Linked DNA regions of Diceros bicornis minor. The protein of the gene in region 2 binds, or shares a complex with, the protein of the main gene of each other region. Links are inferred from orthologs where the notes say so. Each region holds a gene or a part of one and is shown on either strand. Other genes may lie near its edges.

Region 1 (7,469 bases), on a different chromosome or scaffold from region 2:
TGTTTTGTTTTTCTCCTTAGCACTTACCACTATCTAAAATTTGATACATTTTATTTTTTATCTTGTTTATTGTCTGCCTTCTTCATTAGAACGTAAGTTCCTTGTGCACAAAGTTCTTTGATTTTTTTCTCTGTTCTACCCTCAGGCATCTAGAATAATGTCTGGCACATAATAGCACACAGTAAATTTTTGTTGAATGAATAAATGAAATGGTAGCTGTTATTTTTTTAGAGTCCCAAGTATAATGTCAAGATGAAAAAGAATGGTACAAGATAAGAAAATTATACCCATATGATTACAAGTTTATTGTACATAAAACAGTGGATTTGTTTCTGAAAAAATGTGTCAAACTGAATGTTTAAATCAGAATATTTAAACTGTGCTAGCAATGTTCCTATTTCAAAGAATCTGTGATTGATTCTCTGTATAAAACAAAGGACTTTTAAAAAATAATTTTGGGGGCTGGCCCAGTGGTGCAGCAGTTAAGTTTGCGTGCTCTGCTTTGGCGGTCTGGGGTTCACGGGTTTGGATCCTGGGTGCGGACCAACTCAAGCCATGCTGTGGTGGCGTCCCATATAAAGTAGAGGAGGACGGGCACGGATGTCAGCCCAGGGCCAGTCTTCCTAGGCAAAAAGAGGAGGATTGGCAACGGATGTTAGCTCAGGGCTAATCTTCGTCACACACACAAAAAATAATAATAACAATTTTCATATTTTTCCCCTAATATAGCCCCTATTAAGTTAAATATTTTGTCAAGTTTTCTTACTTCAAAATATGCTTATCTGTAATGTGTAAAAGCAAACAAAAAGCCTTTGAACTTTAGACTAGTCCATTTTAATTCCAAAATAAATTACCAAGAAACCTAACGGAAACTCTGAAAGACATTAGTGAGATACTTAGGCTACTCTACGTAGTTCTATCCTCCCAACATCCCTCACCTACACCCACAAAAACCAGTGACAACCGTAAACAACCTGACATTTTCGAAAGGTCCCCAGGGGGCAGCATTGCCCCCACTGAGAACCAGTGCTCTATGGATAGAGTACAACTGAGATGCTTCCTGTCTCCCCTTCTCACTGTTTTTGGACCTTAGTTCCTCTGATGGTAGTGCAGAATGGAGGAAGAGGCACAAGGGCAAATATCTTCTACTTAAAGGGGGTATGTTTGTCCCCTGGGTTAGATGTAACTGCTACCTTAGCTTGTTGGTCTATGAACCTTCAGTCCTCCTCTTATATTCTGGTGAGGGTAGGGGTGGGGATGCTTGGTAATAGGGCTAGTAATCTGATCCAGCCCCTCTTAGGACTCCCCATGGAGAGATGGCCCAACCTGAAAGCTGAGAGATGAGCCACCCAGGTGGAGGGTTTGGGGGGAAGCTTGGGGATAGAGAGTAAATTAGATGATGTTATATCTGAATCCTTTTAAACCCTTGACTTCAAAACAACTCTGAGCATTTGGACTCTCCATGCAGACAACATATGCTGCTGTTCTCTGTGTGTCTGGGTGTCCTTGAGGGAAGTGAGAGTTTTGATCCTCGCTCTTTGAATTTTCTCATACAAGACTGGTGGCATTACATTTGGCAAGCATTTTCAAACTTTCTAAGATTCACCTCCACCAAATGAAGTGTGTTTTACTTAAAATGTTATTAAACATGGTGAATCACAGTGTTTTAGAACTAAGAAAGTATTTGTTAATAAAGTGAAGTTAGATGCCTTGCACTTTTCTCTGTCTAGAGGAATATTTATGACATAGGTTGCAAGTGACCTTATCAACCCTTCATGATTCTCTTCTGCATAACAAACAATATACAGGACAATAGGCAGTAATAAGGACATAAAAGTTACGAAAGATATAGATACTCTTGTAAAGGTCCTTACAATCCATAGTGTCTTAGATTTCTTAGAAGCAGAGCCTGAGACAAGGATCTTTGTCCAAGTGATTTCTCGAGGGTGAGCTCTCAGGAGAAACCTCTGAAAGAAGGAAGAAAGCAGGATGAAGCAGAAGGTAGGCAAAGATGTAGTTTCAGAAGCCTAGCTTCATTTTGAACCCATGGGAGGTTCTGGAAGGTTCTCAATTACACCAAGGTTTTCAGCCCAGAGGCAAGTGGTCTGAGCTACTAGAACCGTACTTCAGCCAGCTATTTGCCACAGGTCACCCACAGAGGCCAGTTGAGGGTGTAATCTCTCAGACAGCACCAGTTGAAGTGATTCCCATCAGCCAAGGACAGACCTATGTGGAAGCTTTGCTCTTGGCAGTCAATACCTGCAGCTGCTGGGGGGATGAGTACCTCAGCCTGGAAAGGGAGATCTGGGCAGGGCAGCAACAGCAACGGCTACGCATGGAACTAAAGGAGCCAGTTCTGTCCACATGATATCCTTTCAGAGCCCTTATAAAGCCACCTATTAGCAAGTGACACGTAAGACAGCACAGTCTGAAAGTCTAGAGGTACAGAGTAAGTGAGTAACCCAGCTAACATGTACTGAGTGCTTTCTCTGTGCTATACACTGTTATGCAATCCTTATTCCTCTCAAGAAATCTATAATGTAGATAATATTATTGTTTCTATTTCCTAGTAAACTGAGGCACAGGGAGGTTAAGTAACTTGGTCAGGGCCCCACAGCTAGCGAGTGCCAGTGAATGATCATTGCATTAGCAATAATATGGTAGGGCTTCTCTGGAACAAAGAAAATGAAATTCTAAGCCCTATCTCAAATTAACACCTCTTAGGTTGGGCTCATATTTTAACAAGTTCCTAAAGTGATTCTTATGCACACTGAGATGTCAGAGCCATTGCCAGGTGGAATATGCTTTCCAAAATGGAGAAAAGTCCTGCAAAGGACAATATCAACAGGTAAAAATCATCAGCAGAAATAGATGTTTGTGAATTTTTATAGATAGTCTGAAGGAAGTGAGAAGGAAGGTAAGAATAAAATTGAGAATGGGTTGTCGAATACCAAACAATAATTACACAGGAAGAAATAACCTTTTTGTTGTCATGTTTTTTCTTAAAATAAGAATAGCAAAAATAAAAAGTATAGGAAACACTGACTTCGGGTACCCATAGGATGTTCTTTTTACCTCTGGGCTGGCATATTTAAACATTTATCCCTAAAAATATGCTCAACTACCTCTTTCCCAGAGAAAAATAGGCTATTATAAAATCGAGAAGGGAAATAATGTTTCCTCAGAGGTTTTCGAAATATAAACAAGGAAATATATAAATACAAGTAAATAGGTTAATTGCTGATATATGAGTAGCAAAATATTTTCATGTAGAGGTAAAATGTTAAGTTGTTCTCTGAAATAGCATATAGCCTGAATATGTCTGCTTTCATAAAAATTTATTATTATAAAAATTGGACCAGACAAACAGAAGAGAAAGGGAAAGGACCAAGAGAGGAGAGATTATAAGTATGACGCCACTTGGCTACAATGAAATCTTTTCCATTTCATACAGGTACCACTAGCGACTGAACTGTCTTCCCCATTGCCCATTGATCTAATTAAGGAGAAGAGATTGCTAAGAGTGCAGAAGAGTCTATTCTTTTGCGATGCACATCAGTAGATCAGACTCACTATGTCCACTTTAACTTTCTGTGTTTGCTCATTGTTGCTATCCAATTCATTGTGACAGTTACATACAAATTCTAGCTATTGTTTGGAGAAATACTTCTAAGTAATATGCTAGTTTATTTCTGATTAACAAAGTTGTTTGCTATATTTCTATTCTATTGGTTCATATTTTAATCCACTATTTGTAAAGAACTTATAGTAACACTTTTGTAAGATTCTCTGTTAATACCAGATTATAATACTCTAGTGATTTAGGGGATTAATGGACAGTCCTCAGAATGACCTCAAACTAACTTAAATGGCATAAATCATATGGTGGAGGGCTTTGGAGTTGGAGATGAGGGTTGGAAACCCTAATTTTTACACTGTGCAAAAAACCAGGGAAAAGGCAGAGCTTTGGGTATTTAAGATTATATACTGACTAAACTGACCTCTCCCCAAGAACCTACTAGCAGGTGTTTAGAGTCAAATGCTTGGTTTAATCATATTAGTGAAGATTATAAAGAAGCTTTAAAGTTCCAAGTCTAGTGTGCAGTGCTAGAATTGTTCAGACCATTCATGAGAAATTGATTATCATAGGAAGTAAAAGAAAGAAACAGCTCACTTAGTAAGTTAAGGGCTAAGGGAAGGGTTGGCTAACATTGACTTGAATCAAGTCCAGCAATTCGAACCTATGAACTAACCTTCTACCTTTTTGGTAGGCGAAAGATGCCAGTTATCAATATTGAGGACCTGACAGAAAAGGACAAGTTGAAGATGGAAGTTGATCAGCTCAAGAAAGAAGTGACACTGGAAAGAATGCTGGTAAACTGCTGCTCTCTTTTGAATTTTATTTTAAACTAGAGATACTGTGGCCACCAGGTTAGATGCCGTTGAAGGGGAGCAGAATGTGCCACCCCAAAATATGCGTCTTTGGCATAAGGATTATTTAGGCTGATTACTTTTAAGAAACATCAGCACAGGAGAAGCTCTGAACACCAGGTAAGCAGAAGTTACCCTTTTGGAAGAGACATTTACATTTATAAGGGAAATCTCCATTTGTAAGGGTGTCTCCTGCTCTGTAAGAGAAGGATGACTCTACATCTCTTATCAATGCAGAAGGCTAGGACTTCAATCTGCTTAACAACCTTACTTGTGTTACCTAGGCTTTTCCTGGTCGCCTCCCATAACTGGCTCCCCCACCTCTCAACATCTTCTTTTGTCTTTAGCTGGAGATGGTATTTAAGGTGGTGTTTTGGGCTATTTTGGAGAGTTACTCAGTTTTCCTGGGTATCTCCCATGTGTACAGGAGGTATACATGTTATTAAACTTATGTTTTTCTCCTGTTAATCTGCCTTTTTTATTACAGGGGTGTCTCAGCCAGAACCTAGAAGGGTAGAGGAAAAGTTACCTTTCCTCCCCCACACCATTCACTGAAGAGGCTCAGTGTAGCTAAAAATAAATTGTTCAGATAAAATTAATTGGGGATTGGGACCAGCCCCGTGGCCTAGTGGTTAAGTTCAGTGCGCTCTGCTTCGGCAGCCCGGGTTTGGTTCCCAGACATGGACCTATACCACTAGTCAGCAGCCAAGCTGTGGTGGTGACCCACATACAAAATAGAGGAAGACTGGTGCAGATGTTAGCTCAGGGCGAATCTTCCTCAGCACAAAAAAAAAAAAAAAGAAATTAATTGTGGATTAAGAAAATTAATAATCACAATTATCTCTTGATTTAGACTCTAAATCAAGGGTCTGGAAAACTATTTTCCATGGGCCGAATCCAACCCTTAGCCTGTTTTTGTATGACCACTAAGCTAAAAATGTTTTTACATTTTTCTAGAGTTATTAAAACAAAAAGGAAGGAAAGAAAGAGAAAATGAGGAATATGAGACAGAGACCATATTTAACAAAGCAATAAAATGAAGCAATGTAAATAGGCATTTTGTTTTTACTCCTCTAAATTGATAAGCTTCTCTTTATTTGATTTATTTGATATGGTTCAAATACTTTTAGCCAAGACCTCATCCCCTTCAGCACTGTCATGGCCAGTAATGAATGAGCACATTCTATTCCTTCTTTGCTAGTAAAAATGAGTTCAAGCCCAAGAACTCACTTGTTCCCCCTATAAACATCTGACAGATGTTAGAAATGGTTACCAAGAGTTCTCTGCCATTGGAAGGAGCAGAAACGGCAAAGAAATAAAAGTTTCCACCAAACAAAATGAAGCTTGGAAAATGTAGATATATACTTTAAATCTCTTCACTTTAGGAAAGTTAGTAGAATAAAAACTCCTCCACAAGTGATAAGAGTATATTTTATATTTTTTTAAAAACTCATTTTGCTTTATCAGGCCAAAGCAAAAAAAGGAGTTTGCATTATCTTCATACTTTGCTCAAAACCCTTGCTCCCAATAAAAATTGGAATTCTGGCTTCTTTTTATGTTTATAATTGTCTCAAACTTCCCCACTGCCCTTTCCGTACAGACAAAACATGTTTTGCTGTAAAGATAAAGTTAAATCTATAAACAGCACAAAAGCTTGAAATACACACCCGAAAGTTAAAATCCTTATTTTTATAACTTGGGGAAAATAAAACAAACTTTTGGGATAAAGGAGAGTTATTTTTTCTTCTTTACTTGAAACTTCCAAAAGCTGTTTTATTATTTATATACTCAGGATTGTTGTTTTGCAGGCAATTTGGTTACCTTTATGTCTATTATTCACTTGTGGCAAGTTCACCTGGGAATTTTTATTTTGGGTAAACATCATATACATCACCATCTGTCAGGTTTTTGGGTTCCTTTTCCCTGTTACTCAACGTCTCCTTGCTCTTGGAAGTCAAATTAATTTAATATCAGACTGCCAAAACCACACACACACACACACACACACACACACACACACACACACAGAACTTCCAGGTCCTGAACCCATAGCTCTGACGCAGGATGGCGTAATGTCATTACAGTATGGTTAAGTGGATAGACGCTGGAACCATACCCCTGGTTCAGATTCTGGCTGCACAACTTCCTCCCTGTGTAACATTCACCTAAGTTATCTAATCTACCTGTGCCTCTGTTTCTTCTTCTGGAAATGGGAATAGTAACAACATCTAATTCAGAGGGCAATTGGGAGAAATAAATGGGATAACATATATATATCTCTGAGAACAGTGCCTAGTACATAGCAATTGCTTTCTACCATTATTATTAATTTTTAAATTATTATTGATATCTGTGAACCAGACTGGTTCATAATATGCCTCAACTCGATTTCGCTGTCGGCACTAGTACTGTCAGAGTAAGACAACTCTTTGCACCCAGTTTCTAAAGCTGACAGATTTGCAATGACTATAAGTCAATGTAATAGGCAAAGACTAAAGACAATCTTTGTAGTAATAGCTAAAAATAGCTACCATTTGGTTGAGCATCTATTGTAGGCCAAGCACTTAATGCAACCAGTGTTGCTTTTCCTATTTCATAGATGAAGTAATTAAACCTTAGATGAACTATCTAAACTAAGGATACATGCGCAGCTGGTAAGTGGGCAGAGCTGAAATTCAAACCTGGGATGACCCGAATCCAATGTCCATGCTCTTGCCACCATGCCATGTAATCCTGTATTAAACTATATACACTTATGATAAGCCTCCCTGAAACAGCTTTTTTTTCCTCAGAAAGATTGGCCCTGAGCTAACATCTGTACCAATCTTCCTCTATTTTGTTTGTGGGTCGCTACCACAACATGGCCACTGACAAATGACATAGGTCCGCGCCTGGGAACCGAACCCCCGGCCGCCAAAGCAGAGTGCACCGAACTTAAACACTAGGCCATGGGGCCAGGCCTTGAAATAATTTTTAAACACATACACTCACATATGATTTTAGGTAATTTATTGCTCCTCAGATCCTCAGATCCTAGC
Region 2 (7,645 bases):
ACCCCCAGGCCGGCTCCCAGGAGGCTCGCTGGTCAGACAGATGTGCAGTCAGAGACCTGGGCCTTCCTGGCATCCAGTGGGCACTCGGTAAGTGTCTGCAGAGAGAAGGAATGAGGAGGGGCCTCCTTACCATCCTCACTATCTTGACCCCGTTTTGTCACCAAACCCTGCCTCTGGAAGCCTGCAGGAACTAATTAGCGCTTCTTCCGGATTACCTACATACTGCACCCTTCCATCCCTGCCTTGTCCTTGTCCTCCGTCCTCTGGGGCGTGGAGACAGGGTCTGGCTCCTGTCTCACTTACTGGAAGCAAAGACTGGAGGGCCACGTGGTGGAGAAACAGACAGTGCTCCGCAGGACACAGACAGACTCTTTGGGAGCTGCCCCCTGCCGCCTGGAGACCCTTCAAAGCCAGGCTTGGAGTAGGTCCCTGGCAGCAGGTCCTGGTCACGTGCACAGTTTGAATAATTCAGATTTAAAAAGACCTACTTTCCCGGAAGACCATTTCCTGCTAAAGAGCAGATGTGGCAGGAGCATCTGAATTATGCATCTCGCTCCCCAGGTTTTAATGATGGCCAGGCGCTGAGCCAGGCACGGGGGCAGCCGCCTTCACCCTGGGGCCCTGCTCAACCCTGCAGCTGCTTGGCTGGCCTGGCCCTGGGCTGGCTACTGCTGTTCGTGTGCAGCTCTGGACTCAGGACCACAGGCTGATCTCTAAGCCACTTACCTAGAGACGGAGGGAGTGTTGCTAGGAAATCAAGAGAAGCCAGGGTTCCTGGCTGGCTGGGTGTGAGCTCTCCACAGTTTGGGGTAGCGGGCAGTGGGTCCACCACGGGGCCCTGATTTGTGTCCCACTGAGGTTGGGCCTGGGCAGCAGTGGGAGCCAAAAACTGCAGGAGGCCTGGGTGGAGTGGGTGGTGAGGGGGCAGGGAGGGCAGGGTCCCCAGAGCAGCCTTCAGACCCTTGAGGTCTAAAGGGCCCTTGCCGGAAGCTGGAAGCTCCTGTAGGTTCCTGAGAGCCGATCAAGGCCCAAGGCACATGTCCCCTGGCCTAGGGGTGGGGAAGGGACCCCTGGGACTAACTCTGTGGCCTGTGTGCATTGGAGGGGGATGAGGCCCCAGGCTGTGCAGGGGATTGGGAATAAGTCCCCATGTCCCCTTCTCCTTCCCTCCAGCCTTCCCCTCAACTTTGCCCCTCATACCCGGTCCATAAACACATAAAGGAGGGTTTGAGGCCTGGCCACAGGGCAAGTTCCAGGGAAGGCCCTGACCTTCCCTGCACCCTGCAGACCTACAGATTAGCCAGGGTGCCAGGGCTGCACCCCAAAACCTTGGACAGCTGTGGCAGGCACTTGCCCTGTGGCCCTGGTATAAGTGGGGATGTGCCCTGCCAGGCCAATTGTGGCCTGTGGGACTGGGGAGCCCTGGGCCAGCCCTGCCGGCACACCTGCTGCCCAGTCAGGCCTGCAGCCTGGTGCCCCTCATGGCCCTCGGGTGGGTTTGCCGGGAACTAGGATGGCAGGGTGGGGGTTCTGAGGGTCCCCCAGGCCTCCTGCCATCTCCACAGCAGCACAGAGGTCTCCGCAGAGACCACTCACCCCCCTGCCCACTTCCTTCTGCTCTGCTGTGGCTCTGCCTTCCTTCCCCCACCTTTCACATCCTCTCCCTCCTCCCCTTCCTTCCCTCCTCATTTCTACTTTTCTAAGTCCTGGACTTAGGTAGGCATTGAAGGTTGGCATCAGACCCACTGGATTGGGAGGAATGTCTCTGACCCTGAGTCTGGGGCCTTGGGTCCATCATTTCTGGGACCCACCTGCCAACGCTCAGGACACCCATACTTCTGACTGTGCGTCACCCACCTCCTCCTCGCCAGCAATGGGCAGTGCTGCAGAACCACCCACCTCCACTCCCCGGGCTGCCGGCCCTCGTCCTGGACACAGTAACCATTCTCTTCCAACCGTGCCTGCTCCCCCAGCCTGTGGTCCTCATGCTGAGTTGTGCCCCCTCACTTGGAACACAGAGGGTGGCTCACACCCCTTTCACCCGCCCCGTAAACGTTCCCTGAGGACCCACTGTGGGCCCCACACTGCTGGAGCAGCAGTCTAGGAAGTCAGCAAAACAGCCCGTGAATGAACCATGTGCAGTCCAGGAGTGAGAGCTCTGAAGAAAAGTGAAGCTGAGAGGCACTGGGGAGGTCGGTGGTGGTCGAGGGGGGCCAAGGGAGACTCACTGTGGTGACTGGAGGTTATGGAGGAGACCCTCCCCGGCAGATGGAGCCACAAGGGCAAAAGGCCAGAGCATGGAACGTGGTGGGCTATGTGTGTAGCAGAACAGAGAGAAGCCGGAGTGCAGGACAGAGAGGAGGGCAGAGGGACCTGGAGGTTGGAACTGTCGATGGTTTTGAACAGAGAAATGATATGGTTGACATTCAGTCTTTGCTCAGCTGAGCAAGGTGGACATCCCTGCAGGGGTGAGGACTGTGGTGGCCCAGTAGAGGTGAGAGACCATGCCGAATGAGGAGGGCGGGGTGGAGACTGGTTGGAGATGATGGAGATTGGTTACATGAGGTGGTAGTTTGTGTGTGTGTACATATTCATGTATGCCTATACATACATATGTTCTCTAGCTCTGTCCGCTGGAAGCAATGACACCTTAGTAGCAGTGAGCACATTCAGAGCTTGGATCCTGGCTTCTAAATACCATTCCCAACTAAAAGGAACCAGGGCTCCTTGGAGAAATGGCTGAGTTCAGGTATGGGACTGGGAGGGTCTAAGATGAGCCTGGAGTGTCCTGTGCCAGGAATTGAGAAAGGGCTCCAAGGATGATGGGGACATGTTTGTGGGCTGGTAGGAAAGAGCGGAGTTAAGGGTGGGGACAGGGAGCACAGCCCTCAAGTGGGTGGGAAGGTATGGGCCCAATGCTGGAGTGAAGGGCTGCCCTAGACACACACAGATACACACACAGACACACACACACACACAGAAGAGAAACATCAGCTGCAGCTGGGAAACAGGCTGGGGAAGGCGGGAGGGGTGATAGGGCCCCTTGAGGTTGTGGCCCTGGTTTAAGGGGACAGCTGCATTCTTGGGTGTGTTCTCCAGCCTCCTTTAGCCAAGCCCTGTAGGCTGGAGGAGAAGGGGCCCTGAATTTGATCTAGAAAGGGCAGCACAGGGAAGAAGGGGCAGGAGGCTGAGGGGGTTGGCAGGGTGACTAGGGTTGGGGACTGCAGGCTTTCAGTGAAGAAGTCAGTGGGGTGAGAAGCTGTTGGAAGTGGGGAGGCAGAAGTCAGCTGAAAGATGGAGGTGGTGGGCCAGGGGCTGTTCTATTGACATTCATATTGACATTGACATTGTACAGAAACTACAGGCTGGTGACATCTGACCCATCTCCGTCCCCTTCCCTTTCCCCACTTGGGGGGTCTTCAATCCTCAGCTGTCCAGCTGACTTCTCAGTGGCATTTGCAGGGGTCGACCATCTCTCCCTCCTGATACTTTCCTGTGGTCACACCTCCCTGCCCAGGTGGCCATTCCTGACAGGGGGCCCTGGGCTTGACCACCCGAGGCCACACTTGCCTGCACGGGCCTGAGCTCACTCAAGCCTCACCAGTAACCCCAGGGACTGGCCTTGTCCACGCGGCAGTGGGGCGTCCACCCCACGACCTCGTCCAGCGTGGAACCCGCTGGGCCACCGCCTTACATGAAGGAATTGATCAACTCCGTTGCACCTGCGGGCCTGAGGGTTGGCCTGGGCTGGGCCTGCGCAGGGCACGTGTGCGTGGTGCGGGTACCTGGCATGCGTGTGTGTGCAGGGTGCAGGGTGCCTGTGCGAGTACGGGGTGCAGTATACGGTGTGGAGCGCTTGTGCAGGGTGCAGGGCACTAGTGCATCGTATGGGGTGTCCAATGCGGGGTGCAGAGTGCAGTGCGGGGTGCAGGGCTCCTGTACGGGTACCGGGTGCGGTATACGATGCGGAGCGCTTGTGCTGGGTGCGGGATGCCGGGTGCGGGGTGTATGTACCAGGCGCGTGTGCAGGGTGAGGGTTAGGGGTGCCTAGCGCCGGGCGTGGGTGTGGGGTGAGGAAGGATCTGCCTCCCGCCCTGCAGCCTCCACCTACGTCCGCCTGGCTGGGAACCGAGCGGGTCGGCCCCTCAGGCGCGCAGTCGGGCATGGGAGAGGCCCAGGCCTAGCCTCGGGGCTCCCGGAGCGGGTCCCCGAGGGCGCGGCACGGCCCCTTTAAGCGGCTCGCGCACGTGCGCGGGCCCGGCGCCGGGGTCAGGGGGAGGAGCGCGGGCACGCGCATGCCAGCGCCGGGCCGTGCGCGCGCGCGGCGTGCGCGGTGACGCGGCCGTGGGGTTTCCCGAAGCTGCGGACAGGGGCCGCCGCGCCCATCCCGATGGCTGGAGGCGTCTGAGGGGCGGACGGAGGCGGCGGCGGCGGGAGCGGGCGCGGGCGCGGGAGTGGAGTGGCCGCCGCGGGACCGGACCGAGCCTCGCCGGCGCATCTGCCCGCAGCGCCCGCGGAGCGGCCCGAGCGCGACCACCTCGCGGAGCGGCGGCTGAAGCGGCGGGCGCGGGCGTCAGGGGACGAGGCGCCGAGGTGAGCGCGGCGGCCCCGGCCTGGCCCGGCCCGGCCCCGGCCGCGACCCCGGCGTCTCCCGCCGCCCCGGGTCCCCGCCCGGGCCGCCCCGCCCCGCCCCCACCGCTGCCCGCCGCGTCTTCCTGCCCCGCCCGGGCAGGGTCGGGGGGGTCGGCGGGGCGGGGGTAGGCGGCCCCTGAGGGCGGCGGCGGGCGGGCCGGTCCGGGGTCTAGGCCTCGGGCTGGGGTCCGCTCTGGCGTCTGGGTCCAGGTTTCCGGCCGGGGCCCGGCGTGCGGGGTCCAGGTCCGGGGGCCGTCATCGGGAGGCCGGGCGGGCGGGCCGGGGCCGGGGCGGCGAGAACAAAGGGCGCGGGCTCCCCGGGGGGCGGGGGCGCTCGTCCTCCGCTCGGGAAGGACGCCGCGTTTTAAATGCAGCTTTTCTGGCGACTTTGAAGTTCGGTTTGGTAACGACGCGATGGAGAGGGGACAATGAAATGAGGAAGCTGGGGCCCGGCCAGCGGCCGCCCGCCTGCCCGCGGAAATTCGGGGGGATTTGGGGCAGAAACAAAGGGCTGTGCCGGGAGCACCAAACCTGTAGCGATTCTCGGCTATTTTCGTTTTTACCGAGAAGTGGCAGGCAGCCCCGTGGCGAGCCCGTTCTCGCTGTTTTCTCCCTCGCCCGGTGCGGAGCGTGCGGGCGGGTGGGCTGGGGGTGGCCTGGGGCCCCCCGAGGGCACGAGCAGGGCCGGGCCGGGGTCCCCGCGCCCGAATGAATGGCTCCGAGGCCAGGCCCCGCGACAAGATGGCGCGTCCGCCCCGCTGCCATTGTCAGCCGCGCGCGCCCGGCCTCCCCCTGCGCCCCGGTTGTGTGTGGGGCTCCATGTGCGCTGTTTGTCAGGACCGGGGTGGGGAGAGGAGGGAGCAGCGCGGGTTGGGTGCCCTCCTTCGGCCCCTGGGGCTTTTCGGTGGCAGCGGGGTGGGGGCGGGGGAGGCGTTGTGCTGAAATGCCACCAGGGTGGTGGCTCGGCCATCGGACTTGTGAAAAGCCTTCTCTCTTTCCCTTGCAAATTGATATTTGATTCAAAAGGTGCTCGAACATTTCTTAAGTGCTTTAAATTGCATAGTTAGCTTGCAGAAGCAGTGTGAGCTTTAGCTGCTAAATTCCTCTTTATGGAAGCTTGTTAGGATTGTCAGATTCGTCTACCGCGGGAAGACTGATGTATGAATTTTTATTTTGGGGAGGGAAGCTGGTGGACGTTTACCGTTCAGGAGTACGTTACTGAGTTCATGCGTAAACGATGTAGACATCTTAATCTATGGTTTTGGTTTGGAGAGTATTAGTGGGTTTTTTGTGTTTTCATTTTGCTGCCTATCTGGTAACACAGTGATCTCAAATAATATTTGATGATTAAGCAGTTGCTTATGAGATTGATTATTAACTAAAAAAATATGTAGATTATTTTTCATGATTAGCAAATAAGGTGTTAGGTTTGTGAGAAGTTCCTTTTAACTCTAGATAGTGGACAAGGTCTTTGGAGCATCGTTAGCCGTAAGATTTCTATCTGAGTTCTTTGTTTTCTAATTTGAAGCTGTAGTCTTTTTTGGGGGTGGAAGCATTCTTTATTTGAAAGTAAAGTTTTAGTTTGCATTCTGTTAAGATAGATAGGGTCTATTCTGGACTCTTCCGGAAGGTATGTATTGCAAAAAGAAAGTGAACAGGCAGTTCCTTTTTTGCTTGCTTAATAATACTGAGTGTGTGGCTGGGGACAGAGCTGGTGCCATCAACATGGAAGCAGGTCTGAGAACCTCCACACGGCAGAACTGAGTGGTAGCTTTTGGCTTGATTCAACTCTCCAACAATTAGAGCTGTCCAGAAATGGAGTGCGACTGGAAGGGCCAGAGGCCGATCTTGTCAGGATCCTGTGGGGGAGATTTCCTGCTGCCGAGTGAGGCTGGACTGCAAGGCCTCTGTCATTCCTGAGACTCACTCCCGTGTTACCTGCTTTTGCTTTCTCAGGCATTGTAAGTGCTACAAACTTTTCTTAGAAGGTGAGAATTGAGGAAAACAAAGTTAAGTTTTATGATTGTGCCTGTGGCTCACTCCCCTTTCCCCCTGCTCCGGGGCTAGTGCTAGGGCTACGTTTTATCTTTGGCTGGAGTGGTTGGTTCGAGAGTAAGCCTAGAGAGGACATTGTTCAACTGTGCCCGTTTTGACTCTGAATTGCTACTTTCTTAAGTGAACACACCCACCAGACATGTATGATCTCTGAGTTTTCACTGGAACTGTGTGTATCTCATCAAAGTACTAAGCAGAATGCTCTTTAATGATACCTTAATGAAGATTTCTTTCTACAGATTTCTTTCTGTTTGATATCTTTAGTTAGTTATGTTTTTTGGGGAGTTGAAGTAAATCCTCAGATTTAATTTTAATCTCAAAAGAGATTGAAAAGACGGCCAAAAGGCTGCAGAATAATGTATTGTATTTTTTTAAAGGGTAAAACCTTTTCAGATTTTTTTTGTGCCCAGTAACTTTGATTTCAAAGCTTGAATTAACCTATGTAGACTTTATTTTGACCACTTGAGAAATAGACTGATTTTATGAGGAGTTAATTTATTTCTCAAAGCTTTGTTCTTTTACATTTACTTTGCTAAAAATTTCTATGGCTGTTATTAGTTGGCTTGATGGGGAAAGTTGTATTTCTACGAATAGCTTTGAGAAAGGTCTTCAGGATATAAGACTTATCTACCATCAGTTGGCCTTTTAGCTAATACTTGAATAACACTGATTTTATTTTAGACGTGCAGTATTGGCGTTTATTATAGTTTTTTTATTGTTTTTTTTTTTTCCCCTGTCCAAAAGATTTGGCTCATTTGGTCTGTAAATTGGATTAAATTCTTAGTCTACAGACTTTGGCTTTTAGCATTAGTGGATTGGTAATAGATAGTCTCAATTTTGTTATCTGGACTTGACCATATGGCGTACCATATTATTTTGAAACCCCTATTTAGCGTAAGTCTAGTAAGGCATTGAACAAAAAGTGTTAGAATTTTTTAACCCTGGTATAAATTCCGAT
Region 3 (7,634 bases), on a different chromosome or scaffold from region 2:
CTGTCAAAGGACACAAGCTCATGAGCAACCTGCAGTTCCCTCCATGCCTGGCTCAGCTGCAGAGACTGAACCCCCCAAATCCTACTCAGTCTGAGTGCTTTCCAACCACCAAGCGGTGGCAACTTCCTGTTTCCCTTGAACTCCTAAAGCACCTCTGCACGGGGCTGATTCAGCTCTAAACCACCTCTAACCTGTTTCCCAAAATGCCTGTGGGGCAGGTACCACGGAACACAAAGAGACATAACCAAATGAATCACACGCCAAGTATTTACAAAGCACTTCCGGGAAGGAGCATTACACCTGCCTGCCCCCAAAGGAATGTGGGAGAGAAAAATGGCCTAGACAGCCAATGAGCAGATGCTGAAATGAATAACGCAGACATAGCCCACTGGAGGAAGCCCCAGGAGGAAGTGAGAATTCACACTTGGGCTGTCTATAAAGAGAACTTCCTGGCAGCAATGGACCCAGAGTCAGAACTTGAGACAAGAGGGTAAGGGTTTGGGAGCTCGGGGCCTGGTGGGAGTGGGTCCCAGGCTCAGTCCTGAGACAGGGAACGTGAGGACTTAGGGGAAGGGGAACCAGTGGCAAGCGAGCTCCCCAACCTTCCTAACAACCAGTCTGTTGACTGCTTTAAAAGCACTCCTCCAAAAAGCATCCTATAACTCCACCTCTCCCACTCACCACCTATGGAGCTCCCCACCAGACAGTCTGCGTTTAAGAGCAAGCTTCAGGCACTCTCCCAGTGAACTCCAAAACCATCAGGTTCCTGAAAGGTTCCAAGTCTTCCATTTCTTGGAACTCCTCCCCCTTAAATCTCCCTACCCAACCCCTATCCAAGGGCCACCTTCTGCAAGCCCAGGTGCTCCATAAATACTAGTCAAATGCCCAGGAGGAAATCTTCCACCAGGTTGTGCTCTCAGTCAGCCCAGGAATAGGGGCCAGGTATGCTCTCATTAATCTTAACTATGAGGTCAGGGCTTGGAGATTTTTACATGTGAATCAACATCCTGTTTCTCTTCCACCCTGTAAATACTAGCGTCCCACTCCCCCAAATATCTCCAGCCTCACCCTCAGGCTCCTCACTCAGGGTTTAACTATCTAGGAGTGAATCTCTGGGACATTCATTTTTTGTGTGCGTGAGGAAGATCAGCCCTGAGCTAACATCTGATGCCAATCCTCCTCTTTTTTGCTGAGGAAGACTGGCCCTGAGCTAACATCTGTGCCCATCTTCCTCCACTTTATATGGGACGCCAACACAGCACGGCTCGACAAGCAGCGCGTCGGTGCGCGCCCGGGATCTGAACCGGCGAACCCCGGGCCGCCCCAGCAGAGCACGCGCACTTAACCGCTTGCACCACTGGGCCGGCCCCACTGGGACATTCTTTTATCAGAAACAAGGGGGGAAAAAACTGAGAAGACCGAGTATCTTTTACATTTTCTCATTTGAAGTAAAACGCTACCATGACTAATGCAAATTAGCATTACTCTTTCTGGCAAATCCACATTATCTGTGACTAAAATTAACCCTTATTTACTATCAACTATTTTATGAGACAGAAACCGTATCTAAATTTCAGTTTTACAATTCAGAAATCAAATATATTTAAGTGGATGCTGATAAAAAAAAGAAACTACAACATAAATATATTGTGATAGATTAATTACCCTCTCCCAAAGAACTCCTATTACAGTAAAGCATAATTTTTTAAGTAGTCCTGAGACAGTAAAATAAAGGGATGAATCGACTTAACTGCGCAAGCTACAGCTTATCGGCTCTGTATTAATTGTTTCAGTGGTGAATCGACAGCCATTGCCTCAAAACAAACAACCCAACGGACAAGAACAATTTAAAACCTGACTCAATATACAAAACAGGAACGCTTCAGTAGAAATACAAGTGAATGACCCCTAAGACTCTGTTTAAAAAGAAAAACAAAACAGTAAAACATAGACCCACACTATAAAAGAAAAATCACAACTGACAAAAGCCTATTTCTATCCTGGAGAAGACTGTCATTTTCTGGGAGGTCAATCCTCTAAGAGTGGAGAGCTCAGACAAATGAGCAATGGAAATAGCTGAGGGGGGTGGGCGGCGGCACCAGGGGACCAGAGCGCTGGCATCTCAAACCCTGATTCCTACCCATGATGGGTGGTTTTGTGGTAACTCAAGAATTCTCATTTCCTGATCATAAGGTCATGCCACAGGGAGGATGGTCTCCGTCAGGGTTCTCGAACTTGAAGAGAGATCTGAATCTTTCTGGGAAGCCTTATGTCTGGCAAATGTTGGGGTGGCAAGGCACAAGGCCAAGTGCAATTATGCAGGCTCAACTGAAAGACCCTGGCAAGTTAGAATAACACTTGTGAATTGCCCAAGACAAATATAGTAATAGCTTTTTCCAACAACGCCTTCCCTGAGTTTCAATCCTGTTCAGTGCCTGAGATACTCTTCCTCGGTCACACAGGTCTTGTAAAGTAAAGGTAATCACCAAAATAGTTTCTATTACCACCCGTACAACAGTGTGAACATTAAACTTGATGAAAGACAAGCTGCAAACTAACCTAGAAATTCCTATCCTTTTGCCAGGGCAGTCGGAAAACTAGGCTAATTAATTAGAAAGCAGACTGAAAAAGATTTCCCCCCTGGCCCTTCCTTGACACCCCTAAGCCACCCCTTAATATGAGCAGCATTCCCTTTGAACAATCATTCTATGGATGGCACCCTCTGAGAGCGCTGAGTGTTGTGGCTGAAGACGGTGGAGCGCCAACTCTCTAAATGCAAGTCACTGGCAAAGGCAGGCCACCCGTGAAACCCCCCCACGCCAACGGTAAGTCAACCGCCCGGAATGTGAACAGACGAGAACAGCGCCAGGGTTCCGCGACTCCAGAACCACTAAGTACCCCGGCGCGGAGAGGAGAAGGTGTGCACACACCAGGGGCCAAAGAGTCGAGGGAGGAGAAGAAAGCAGACTCACAAAAAAGTCCGGGGTCTGGGTAGCCTCCTCCGCCACAGAGCAGAGAGGACGAGACAGAGACGCCTCGAGGTGGCGTGGCCGGGGATCCCCGAAGGCAGTGGGCGCCAGGGCGCCATCCCCTCCGTCCCCGGCCCAGGCAGGGAGTCGGGGGCTCGGGCCGAACTGTGGCGGGACGGTCTCCCCAGCGCGGGCAGGGCCCAGACTCTCGTGGCCGGCCCGCGTGGCCCTCACCTTGTCCGAGTCCAGGTCGGGGTCGGCCTGGCACAGACGGTACAGGAAGGATTTCGGGTCCCGGCACAGCGTCTGACGGGTGGTGAGGAAGTAGGTGCCGCCGACATTCAGCCGGACCCACTTGGACACGCCGCCAGGCCGCTGGGCCAGCGCGCCGAGCCCCGCGCTGCAGCGGGGGCACAGGCCGCCCCCCAGCCCCGCCCCGAAGCAGCCCGGGGCCGGCGGCAGCAGCTCGCAGTGATTCTCCGCCATGATCCCAGCAAGCACCGCCACAGCTCCCCTCCACCGGAAGCGTCCGGTCTTTAATATAGTCCTTCGAGCTCTGTCCCGCCCACGCGGCCGGCGTCACGCAAGAGGCGGAAGTTCCGGTCCGGAAAAGCGGCCGGCCGTGCCCCCTTCCGGCCCGGGCCGGCCACGGCGTGGTCCCAGGGCGCCCACGCGGGCGAGCAGCGCGGGGACCGGCGACCGAGTGGAGAAGCGCTCGGCAGCCTCCGCCCCGCGCGTGCGGCGCGCGGACGGCCGGTTCCCGGCCCAGAACCCAAGTCGCGACCACGCCCGCCCCGCAGCCCCGGCGAAAGGAAGAGCTGCGGTACCAGCGAGCGTCTACACTCTACATGCTTTTTTATTACAAGACTACCGAGCATACGTGGAAAATTCATCATCCGGTAACTACATCTAAAGCACAAATATTTGAAAAAAAGAGAATAAACAGATTCATTAAATTATGATATGATTAAATCATTGACCAAATAGAAAATTTATATAATAAAGCCAGAAAAAAAGTTGTAAAATATAGTTTACAATAATTATTCACATTCAAGGCTGTACATCAATACATACAACAACGTGGCCCCGAACATGAATTCAATCCAAATAATTCATATATTAGATTTTAAATAACACAGACTGAACTAGAGGCCAACAAGAGCCAGCAAATAACCTTATATAAGAATAAAAATACAAAAGTGTATATCCTAATATCATTGCATTATTTGTTTTCATAAGTTTTTTAAAATTTTTGCTTTGCCTGTACATCACAGTTACAGCTACAGACCAGGTAGAGAATATTACACATGTTCTCACTGCCTGCCACCAACCTGAAAGACAGCTAACATACTATTTATTGATTCATCCTATTTTGTGTTAAGGAACAGCTGCAGCAGCTCTAAATACTGCAAGAATTTAATTTGCCAAGGTCCAATCAAACTTCTGATCATGATAGAGGCTTTTCACCAGCAAAATGACCCCTATTCATTCAGCCAGACCGTTAGACCAGGGTGGATTACACAGCTAAAAAAGGTTTGCCTTTGTAAAAAGTTCTCTGTACACAAAGTTTGGTGTTTCTTCATATTGAAGAAATGAGTTATGGGGAAAATTCAGGTATACACGTAGGCTCATTCAGCTGCCCACCACGGCTGTCTGAGCTACAGATAAAACTGCTCTTTGCTGGACCGGCTTCCCCTCCAGACCCACTCTCCACAGGCAGCCTGATTTACAACCTCGCAATCATGGGCCAGCAGCCTGCGCCCCTCAGAGGCTCTGGGAGTGCCTCTTGCCCTGATTTAAGGCACTTGCCCTGTAGGCCGCCTCAAACCCAGGGCCACACCCACTTGAGTCACCATCAGTTCATTTCAGGTTTGGATATGAAAAGAAACAATGTGGAAAAACATGTATAGGGCAACATCTCCAAGAACAGTACCTTCACCGCTCTCTCCCAGTGGCTGCAGCCTCTGTAGTCAGTGGACCCGCCGGGGAGAGGGGCTCGGGTGTCAGAGGAAGGCAGGAGACCTAATTCTGAACAATTCAGCCATACTCTCTGGTAGAGTTAAGTGGCACTGAGCATGGCACCTAGAAAAATCTCTCATGCATGTTTCCTCTCAGAATCAAGAGACTCCAAACTTAAGTGGAGAAATTAAGAATGAAACCAAATTTGGGTGGTCTGGGCTTGAGGACAACTAGGCAACCTGCGACACTGTGGGTGAGGAGAGGGGAGAAGCCCTTAAACCCACAGCAGCCAGGACCCACTCCACAGTGGGAAAGCCTGGCCACAGGACAGTCACATTCTAGTGAGAAAGCCTGGCCACTGGCTCCACTGAACCCAAAAGACATTCTGACAAGGTCCCACGACGTGAAGAACATGGGGACAAATAACACTTGTGTGAAACCCAAGTGTCTACGTGGTTTCTTTTTCAAGTAGAGCCTTTGCTTTTACCGATTCCAAATGGCCCAGTGTACTTTCTGAGTCTATGAACTTCACTACAAATCATCCACTAGCATGTGGCAAGGTCAGTTCAACACTTTTTATCTCTGCTGACTGTGCAGATGCAAATTCAGTACCATTGTGGACACAAAGTAGGAGATTCTGAAAATATTACCAAGCACTTGAAAGCCACAGCAGCAGGGATGGGAAGGTAACTAAGATGCAAGCATAACCAGATTCTTTCAATGAAAATAAGGAAATTAGCTTTTGGAAGAATCTGTCACAAATGAACTGCAGTAATGACATCATTTTAGCATTAAAAAAAAGAGAGAGCAGTCTTACTCAAACATTCTTTGGAACATACAGCTTACCAGAAATGGATGTGTTCAGAATCTGTAGGATACAACTAAGAAGGTTCTGTATTGGAACTCTGAGCATCTAAGCATCAGATCAAGACAGAGGAAGAGAGATTTACCACCACCTTTAAAACTAACAAAACTCTTTGACCCAAAAATACCACTTCTAGGAATCGGGGTGGGGAGATTCAGAGTCAAAAGCCAAAGATTTATAAGGATATTCATCGCAGCATTATTTAAATAGTGAAAAACCAGAAACCATCTAAATGTTTCACAACAGGGAAATGGTCAGATAAATTATGATAAAATGTATAACATTAAACTCTACAATCATTAAAAACAATGTTTTTGAATCATTGTTCATATATGAAGACATGGGGAAATGCTTAAGATAAAATCATCAAGTGAAAAAAGCTGGATGCAAAATGGTATATGTTGTATGCTCCCAGTTTAGTTTAAAAAGGAAACAACTGTGTGTGTGTGCAGGAGGGGCAGGCTATACACCAAAATGTTCACAGTGGTCTTTTCTGGGTGGTGAGCCTACCGTTGATTTTTTCAGAAAACAAATGTAGTATGAAAGTACAGTCCCCTGGAGCCCCCGTGCTGGCACACTGCCCTAGGGGGGTCTGTGCCACAGGGCTATCTCTTGCAATTCCTTCAGGCGTGGGCCACAAATACCACCAAGTGGCCTGACGGGGTGGGAGTAGGTGCAGTTTCCACCAGCTTTGGCATGACCCTAAGAGCCATCTTTCTCAAAGCCAAGTCTGTAACAAGCCTCTAGAGAGTCAAGGTTCGGAATGGCAGGCCGGCTGCGGGGCCGTTCACAGGGTGGGGCTTTGTGCTCCACATGGGGCTGCCCACCACCCTGGTCGGGTCCACAGAAAGAGGGAAGGAAACCACCCCATCCAAACCCGGCTTCCTCCCGTTGCCAGAGAGAAGCAAGGCACAGTGGGCTGCCTGAGCCAGTGGAGACCACAGCCCTCCTGGCCGTCCTCCCTCCCCTCCGTGCCAAGAGAGGCCACACAATGTGGGACCATCTCTACTTGGCGGGTGTGGCCCCTATACTTGTCCTTGCCCTCTCTCAGGAAGACACATGGCACCTGGACCTGTTAAACAGGGTGTTTTCTTTCTCACCTTGGATAAATCCACATTTATACTTCCATATGTCTGTGTATGCACCCAGACTGACACCCACGTCCACCTCTTAGAATGTAAGGCACCTGCACGCTAGGGTGATGGCTCTAAGCATGAGTTGGATAAAACTAAAGTTGACATGAGTAAGTACAGGGTAAGAAAAGATTATGTACGGGCCTAGAAAAAAAAAAGAGGACTCTGAGTGAGAGGAGAAAGGTGACCTACAGAGAAGGGCTCAGCTGTCACTGCCTCAGGGAAGGGTAGTCACTTCAGCTCTGTCAGCTGTGAGCTCAACCCTGAACCCCTTATTCTCTGGTTTCAGTAAGATGGAGCTTGTCGGTTAAGCCCAGGAGGTAGTGGCGCTATCCAGAGGGAAGAATGGAACGGAAGATTCGTCTCTCCCCAAGCAGCCCAGCTGAGTACTCTTGTTAAAGCCAAATATCAGCTCTGCTTGTTTCCCTGTGACCAGACACCCAGGAAAGACACTGTGCAAAAGCGGCTTCCGAACTGCACACACAGACGTGGATGTTCTGAGGGGGATGAACTATAAACACGGGGAGTAAACCTGAAATCGAACTCCTGAAAGGAAGGTACAAGCAAGACTCACTTTGTGAAGAGCAGGTGAGCATAGGCAAGCCTTTTCAAAAGCGAGGAGGAGGAAAGAGGGAGCCTGACTTCCAACCACACGCCCATGGCAGTGCTCTGCTCTCCGGGGCGCCCCCAGGGCAGGCACACCCCCAA
Region 4 (6,555 bases), on a different chromosome or scaffold from region 2:
TTCCTCAGCAAAAAAAAAAAAAAAAAAAACACAAACCACAAAAGGAAACTAGATAAATTAAACTTTATCAAAATTCAAAACTTTTGTTCTTTGAGAGGCAATTAAGAAAATGAAAAGTCATAGTGTGGGAGAAAACATATGTATAATACATATATCTAACAGATGACTAGTACCCAAAACATAATAAAGAACTCTCAGAACTCAATAATATGAAAATAATCCCATATTTTAAAAATGGGCGAAAGACTTGAATGGACACGTCACAACAGAAGATACACAAATGGCCAATAAGTACTTGAAAAGATGCTCAACATCAATAGTCATCAGGGAAAGACAAGTTAAAACCACAATGAGCTACCATGACACACTAATTACAATGCCTATAACTTAAGACTAATGAACACCAAGGGGTAGGGATGACACAGAGCAACTGGAATGCTCATATGTTGCTGGTGGGAATAAAAACGATACAGCCACCTTGGAAACTGTTTCTTAGCAAGTTAAACAAAAAGTTTACCATACAACCTAGCCGATATACTCCTAGGTATTTGCCCAAGAGAACTGAAAACACATATTCACACAAGGACCTAAGCAACAATATACATAGCAGCTTTATTCACACTAGCCAAAAACTGGAAAAAGAAATGTCCATCAACAGGTGAATAGATAAATAAAATATAAAATATCCATAAAACAGAACACTATTCAGCAATAGAAAAGATGCTATGAGAACACATAATAAGGACCCTAACTGAGGTCAAGGAGGGCTTTCGGAGGGAAGAAGAGAGTATCCAAAAGGAGACTAGGGATTAGCGGGGGAGTTGGAGCGGGTGATGAGAAATGAAGAGCATTTCCGGCAGAGCCTGTTCAAGGGCCCCTGGCAGGAGGAGAGAGGGCACATTCACACAAGCGAGAGCTGGTCTTGCTTAGAGAGCCAGGAAAGACAGGGCAACAGGAGCTAGGCCTGGAAGTTGGCAAGGGCCGTGCCAGCAAGGCCCTACAGGCTTTACTAAGGGTTTTGATATTTATCCTACAGGCAATGAGAAACCTCTGGAAAGCTTTAAAACAAGAGGATGGTATAATTGGCTTGACTTTTTTAAAAAGATCCCACTAACTACAGTGTGGAGAGCTGACTGCCAGGGGAGTGAGCGGCTGTGAGGGAGCTGGTCATGGCCTCCGCTGAATTCCTGGTAACAGATGATGGTGGCTTACACTGAGATGGGATAATGGAGACGGAGAGAAACGGACGGATTCAACAGGTATTTGAGAAGTCTGTTGGGCTGCATTCGGGGGTAAGGAAGATGATCGTGTTAAGATTGACATTAAGATTGACTCTAAGATTACGGCTCAGGGAATGGGGTGGGAAGAGATCCTATTCTCCAACACAGAGAATGCTGGAAAAAGACCTCTCCTTTCACGGAGAAGATCTAAAGTCAGCTCTGGACCCACTGAATTTGAGATGCGTGGGGGACATCCAAATGGCAATGTCTACTAGGCAGTTGGACATGTGGATGTGGATGCTCACAGAAGCCCAGGATGGAGATTCCAAAGTGGGTGTTATGTAAGATGGTAATTGACGCTGTAGAAATGGATGCAACAGACCAGAGAGACAGCATAGGGTGAGGATAGGAAAGAACCTGGAACCAAGTCCTAAGGAACTCCAACTTTTAGAGGATGTGTAGGAAAAGGTGAGATGGCAAAAGCAATTAAGACGTGACCAAAAAAAGGCAGGAAAACCAGAAAAGCATAACATATCAGAATTCAGGGAAAGAGAATGTTTCAAGAAGGGTGTGGAAACTGTGTTGAATGCTAATAAAACAGTAAGAAAATGTCCACTGAATTTAGTACCATAGAGGGCACTGCTAAACTTAGGAAGAGTAGATCCTATGGAAAAAAAGGGGTTAACCCAGATTAGAGTGGACTGAGGGATGATGGAGAAATAAAGAAGTGGAGAAAGTGATTATACAACATTAGATAATGGGCTCAAGTTCCTCCTCCATCAAGCTGGGTTATAATGATGATGAGAGAGCACCGAACTTGAGAGAGACTGTGACAGCTCAGCCCTTGAATTCAGCCCGAGAGGTTGTATTTCCCTTTTCCTGTGACACAGGTGGGCATTATGAACCACGAGTTCAGAAGTTTCTTTGATTATGTGACCTCGTGACTACCATGAACATAGAGGAGGGGGTTCACTGGGGATCTTCAACATGGGTGACACATGACAGTGACATGAGAAAGGCAGGAGGTGGGGGAAGGACAGGTGGCGATAAAGAAACAGTCATGCTCCTCAACACCTGCTCTCCAGTAAGTTTCCGCTTTGCAATTACATCCAGATACTCAGGAATATTTATAGAAAATCATAAAAGCAAAACGGCACAAATAAATTTGGAAGCAAGCAACAGAGAAAGGTCTCTTCCTTCATTCCCCTGGTAATATCTAGGAAGCACATGTGTGTGCAGGGGAAGAAAATAAACGAGAAGATAGAACTCCTCGGTTCTAGAGGACAGCAGAGTGCAAAAGAAAGAAAAGCTAAGTGTGAAGACACCTGGGGTTCTGGGCCACAAAACTAATGACTCAATGAATGAATGAATGAGTACACAATAGCGAATAAGCATAAGTCCTAGGGAAAGAATGGAGATTTTGTGAGTAAGGATAGGGCCACAGACAGCAAAGCAGAGACCATCCCATAGGTCATGAGGAAACCATGTTCCATCTCTGTTTTCTTGGGTGTGTGTGTCAAGAGGACATTGAGGAGCTTCTAACCTGAAGCTTTACAGGTCGAAGGCGGACATAGCCAGAAAAGCACCAGGGTGGCTCAGGGGTTGGGCCCAGCTCACAGGGAAAGGGAACATCCGGGGAAGGAACGGAGCGCCAACCCCCCTATAAAGAGCCGCACAGGCGCGTCGGCCTCCGGAATCCCCGACCTTGCTCGTCAGCTGGCATGTCGGCGCCTCAGCCTCTGGATGTTGCACCGAGTGGCTCACTCTCTATGAAGCTTGGGAGGAGCGACTGCTTCCACTTCGGAGAGTCCACTAGGCTAACACCAGCCCATACGCCTTTATGTGCTCTCTCACTGACGCCCCACAGAAATCCTGGGATGTGAGTATTCCCATCCTCACTCGGCTGAAGAGTAAACTAAAGTTCAGAAAATTGATCTGCCCAAGGCCACCATGAAGAGACTTGGATTTGAGCCCACGTCGCCCAACTCTAAATCCCACGCTCTTTCCACCAGAACAAGATGCAGGCTAGGAGAGACCAATCTGTCTCAGCCGAGAGGGTGGAAGAAACTTGTTGGGGGCTGAGGGCAGGAGACCATACAGAAAGGAAAAAATTGAAGAATAAAAGGAAGTAGGAAACCTCTTTTCTGAAAATGAGTAGAATTACAGAAGAAATCGCCTAGAAAAGAGAAGATAAGATAATCTGACTTGGGAAATGGGAAAAATGCCTGGGACTGAAAAAAATTCAGGAACTAGGGACAGAAAATCTGGGTTTGGAAGTCGGAGCAGGGATCTCTAGGGGGAGAATGGAGATGCTGGCCGGTGCCCTTTGCTTCGGTCTGAGAGGAGCCAGCGCTGGATCACCGACCTTCCCCTCTCTGGTCACGTGACTCGTGCTGGTATAAAAGCTCTCTCCCAGCCAGGTTCATTACAACATTTTCCTGTGTGACATGTGCAGTACCAGTGGCTAAAGCTCTGTTCCCTTCTCCCAGGAGCCTTCAGACTTTCCTTCAGGACGAATCCCAAGAAGCCATCCATCCGGAGCAAAGACAAGGCAAGGCAGCTGGCTCGGTGCTGGCTCTGGGAAGTGAGGCCGGGATGAGAATGGAGGGGAGGTGCTGGGGGCAGGAGGAGGCCTGTCAGAAACTGAATGGGAGGATCACACCCGGAGACAGGAGCAAGTGTGGGGCCAAGGAAGCTCAGACCGGGCATCCACCCCAGAGAGAGGATAGAGGGGCCAGACCGTGTGTGGGCAGCAAGGGTTCCCACCAAATGGAAACTGAGTCACCCCATTGAGGAGAGTTCTGTTTCTAGTCAAAATGCCAGGCTCGGGAGCCGGTTACTGCCTGTGGGCTTTTCTGAATATTCTCTAAAATCTCTTGGGGGACAAGGCCCAAAAGATACTACTGGCTCCCCTTTCCTCCTGCTCCCCGCTCCCTGTGCCTCACTAGCTTACCCTTTTCAACACAGGCGCAGAGTTGTGCTGGACGGGGAGGAGAAGATGGAGGCGAATCTGTGTTCTGCAAAAGGAGAGGAAAACAAGGTGGGGAGATGGGTTGGGGGCTGGGCATTTGCTTCCTGGCGGGTGGCGGGTTCCGTGGAGAGCCAGCATTGGGTCATGGGGCCTGGGTTTTCAGAGCCCAGTTCTCCTGCAAGACATCTTGTGGCTTTCTCCTCAGTGTGATGAGGCTTGCCTCTTCTCTCCACAGGTCTCTGGCTGAGGAAGGGACTTAAGAAAGGTCAGACACTGATAACAGTATCTTCCTGTATCTGCGAGGAGAGAAGGAGAGTGGCTGGGAACCCAGAGGGGGAATTCCCTCAGGAAGCCAAGGGCTGGTCTCCCTGACAGACGCATGACGGCAAACGTAATAACTACTGCCTAATTCCCACCCAAGGCAAAGTCAATAATTGCTCTGGGCAGTTCTGGCAGGTGTGTGAGCTAGCAGTGGTGGCAGCAGAAGGCCCTGGCCCGGGAAGAGGAGCCTGCCAGGGAGGATGTGCACATCCTGAGCCAGAGGAGGGTCTGCAGGCTGTGAGTGGGGCCTCCTGCCTGCCCTTACTCATCGTCTTCCAGAATGGACACGCCAAGCTCCTTGATCTTCACGTTCTACATCATCATCTTCCTCACTGGTCTCCCTGCCAACCTGCTGGCCCTGTGGGCCTTTGTGGGGCGGGTCCGCCAGCCCCACCCCGCTCCCATCCACATCCTCCTGCTCAACCTGACGCTGGCCGACCTCTTGCTGCTGCTGCTGCTGCCCTTCAAGATCATCGAGGCTGCGTCTGACTTCCGCTGGTACCTGCCTCAGGTAGTCTGTGCCACCATGGGTTTTGGCTTCTACAGCAGCATCTACTGCACCACGTGGCTCCTGGCGGGCATCAGCGTCGAGCGCTACCTGGGAGTGGCTTTCCCCGTGCAGTACAAGCTGTCCCGCCGGCCTGTGTATGGAGTGGTTGCTGCTCTCGTCGCCTGGATCATATCCTTTGGTCACTGCACCATCGTGGTCATCGTTCAGTACTTTAACTCAACCCAGAAGGCCACAAATCTAGAAGTTACCTGCTATGAGAACTTCACCCAAGAGCAGCTGGATGTGGTGCTTCCCGTGCGGCTGGAGCTGTGCCTCGTCCTCTTCTTCATCCCCATGGTGATCACCATCTTCTGCTACTGGCGCTTTATATGGATCCTGCTCACCCAGCCCCATGTGGGGGCCCAGAGGCGGCGCCGAGCTGTGGGGCTGGCTATCGTGACGCTCCTTAATTTCCTGGTGTGCTTCGGGCCTTATAACATATCCCACCTGGTGGGGTTTCACACCAAGAAAAGCCCCAAGTGGCGGGCAGAAGCCGTGGTAATCTGTTCCCTCAATGCCAGTCTGGACCCCCTGCTCTTCTATTTCTCTTCTTCGGCTGTGCGCAGGGCCTTTGAAAAAAGGCTGCAGGTGCTGCGGGACCAGGGATCCTCCCTGCTGGGACTCAGAGGCAGAGAGTCGGTGGAGGTGACCAACGGGGTCAGGGGTGTGAGTCCAGTAGACCGAGTGCCAAGTTCTGACTCCGCCACAGACTAGGGATGGGACCTTTGGAGACACTCGGCTCCGTGCGAGTTGAGGAGGCTGGGAGAGGGAGACATGAGGGTCTGTCCCAGATTCAGGAATCCTCAGACCCAGTCCACTACTGGGACTGCAAAAATCTCTCTCACCAGTTTGGTATCCCTTCCTGAATTTTCCTTCTCAAAGGAGCACAGCTCCATGGCAAAAGAAGAAATGGTTAGGCATAGCAGCACTGTTTCGGAAGCAATGTAGCTAATGTCAGTCCAGTCCTTGTGAGGTGGGTGGTAGCTGCGGATGATCGGGCTGAAGCGGAGTCTCAAAGCAATCTTGCTGCAAGCTTTGCAACAACTCCTAGACGCTGGTCTAGCCGTTGATGCTGGCAAGAAGCCAATGGGAGAGAGATGGAAGAGAAAAACTAAGTGAGGTCAAAGGAGACTTGGGAAGGTTCTGAGCCAAGGGACTGGAGGGAGGCCTGGGGGCTTGGACCTCTGAGGATCTAGGTTTGCACTGTACCGACTGGACCTGCTGCTTCGTAAGTATGGTCCAGTCGTCTTCGCGTGTGTATCTGTCTCCCCCATTAAACCGGGAGCTGCTAAGGTCTGGGTCTCGTCTTCTCCCTCCACAGCACCCCACACAGGTCAGGAATAGCGTGGCACCCGCCAGGCAGACGTTGACACTGACTAGCTCAGGACAAGACAACCTGATCTGGCAAATTGAAAACGAAGATTATAAAACTCAGAAGCGCGAGCCCCCGGTTTATGTAACATTTCTGCAGGCACAGGGAGGGCAAACATGAG

The links.
Region 1: the proteins of GNB1 (region 2) and GNGT1 are in contact, whole or in part, in a cryo-EM structure (PDB 7L0P), measured with the Homo sapiens proteins. The link is inferred for Diceros bicornis minor from reciprocal best matches to the Homo sapiens genes GNB1 and GNGT1. Residues at the interface, in NP_001269468.1 of Homo sapiens: Leu30, Ile33, Thr34, Ile37, Val40, Ile43, Met45, Arg48, Arg49, Trp63, Ser84, Tyr85, Thr86, Phe235, Pro236, Asn237, Asp254, Arg256, Ala257, Gln259, Leu261, Ser279, Lys280, Ser281, Gly282, Arg283, Leu284, Leu300, Asp323, Gly324; in NP_001316355.1 of Homo sapiens: Met31, Val33, Lys35, Cys36, Cys37, Glu39, Val40, Arg41, Tyr43, Val44, Arg47, Ser48, Asp51, Pro52, Leu53, Val54, Ile57, Asn62, Pro63, Phe64, Lys65, Glu66, Leu67.
Region 3: the proteins of GNB1 (region 2) and KCTD5 are in contact, whole or in part, in a cryo-EM structure (PDB 8U7Z), measured with the Homo sapiens proteins. The link is inferred for Diceros bicornis minor from reciprocal best matches to the Homo sapiens genes GNB1 and KCTD5. Residues at the interface, in NP_001269468.1 of Homo sapiens: Arg52, Gly53, Leu55, Lys57, Tyr59, Gln75, Asp76, Gly77, Lys78, Thr87, Asn88, Lys89, Val90, Ala92, Pro94, Leu95, Arg96, Ser97, Ser98, Trp99, Met101, Leu117, Gly131, Asn132, Val133, Arg134, Val135, Thr143, Tyr145, Gly162; in NP_061865.1 of Homo sapiens: Val157, Arg159, Val160, Leu161, Gln162, Cys163, Gln164, Glu166, Glu167, Gln170, Met171, Thr174, Met175, Ser176, Asp177, Trp179, Ser190, Tyr191, Val205, Lys207, Leu209, Glu219, Ser221, Lys223, Ala224, Leu227, Gln228, Arg230, Gly231, Ser232.
Region 4: the proteins of GNB1 (region 2) and FFAR2 are in contact, whole or in part, in a cryo-EM structure (PDB 9CM7), measured with the Homo sapiens proteins. The link is inferred for Diceros bicornis minor from reciprocal best matches to the Homo sapiens genes GNB1 and FFAR2. Residues at the interface, in NP_001269468.1 of Homo sapiens: Arg52, His54, Leu55, Asp312, Ser334, Phe335; in NP_001357016.1 of Homo sapiens: Arg37, Gln38, Pro39, Gln40.

Annotation. Positions count from the first base shown.
Region 1 is NC_080742.1:31,204,536-31,212,004, forward strand, and holds the start of GNGT1 (guanine nucleotide-binding protein G(T) subunit gamma-T1), read left to right. Parts: upstream 1-4,278; coding exon 4,279-4,374; intron 4,375-7,469. UniProt on the Homo sapiens protein: Guanine nucleotide-binding proteins (G proteins) are involved as a modulator or transducer in various transmembrane signaling systems.
Region 2 is NC_080752.1:22,670,534-22,678,178, reverse strand, and holds the start of GNB1 (guanine nucleotide-binding protein G(I)/G(S)/G(T) subunit beta-1), read left to right. Parts: upstream 1-4,452; 5' UTR 4,453-4,593; intron 4,594-7,645. UniProt on the Homo sapiens protein: Guanine nucleotide-binding proteins (G proteins) are involved as a modulator or transducer in various transmembrane signaling systems.
Region 3 is NC_080765.1:45,802,942-45,810,575, forward strand, and holds the start of KCTD5 (BTB/POZ domain-containing protein KCTD5), read right to left. Parts: upstream 3,471-7,634; 5' UTR 3,456-3,470; coding exon 3,204-3,455; intron 1-3,203. UniProt on the Homo sapiens protein: Its interaction with CUL3 suggests that it may act as a substrate adapter in some E3 ligase complex. Does not affect the function of Kv channel Kv2.1/KCNB1, Kv1.2/KCNA2, Kv4.2/KCND2 and Kv3.4/KCNC4.
Region 4 is NC_080773.1:9,227,799-9,234,353, reverse strand, and holds FFAR2 (free fatty acid receptor 2), read left to right. Parts: upstream 1-4,792; coding exon 4,793-5,776; downstream 5,777-6,555. UniProt on the Homo sapiens protein: G protein-coupled receptor that is activated by a major product of dietary fiber digestion, the short chain fatty acids (SCFAs), and that plays a role in the regulation of whole-body energy homeostasis and in intestinal immunity.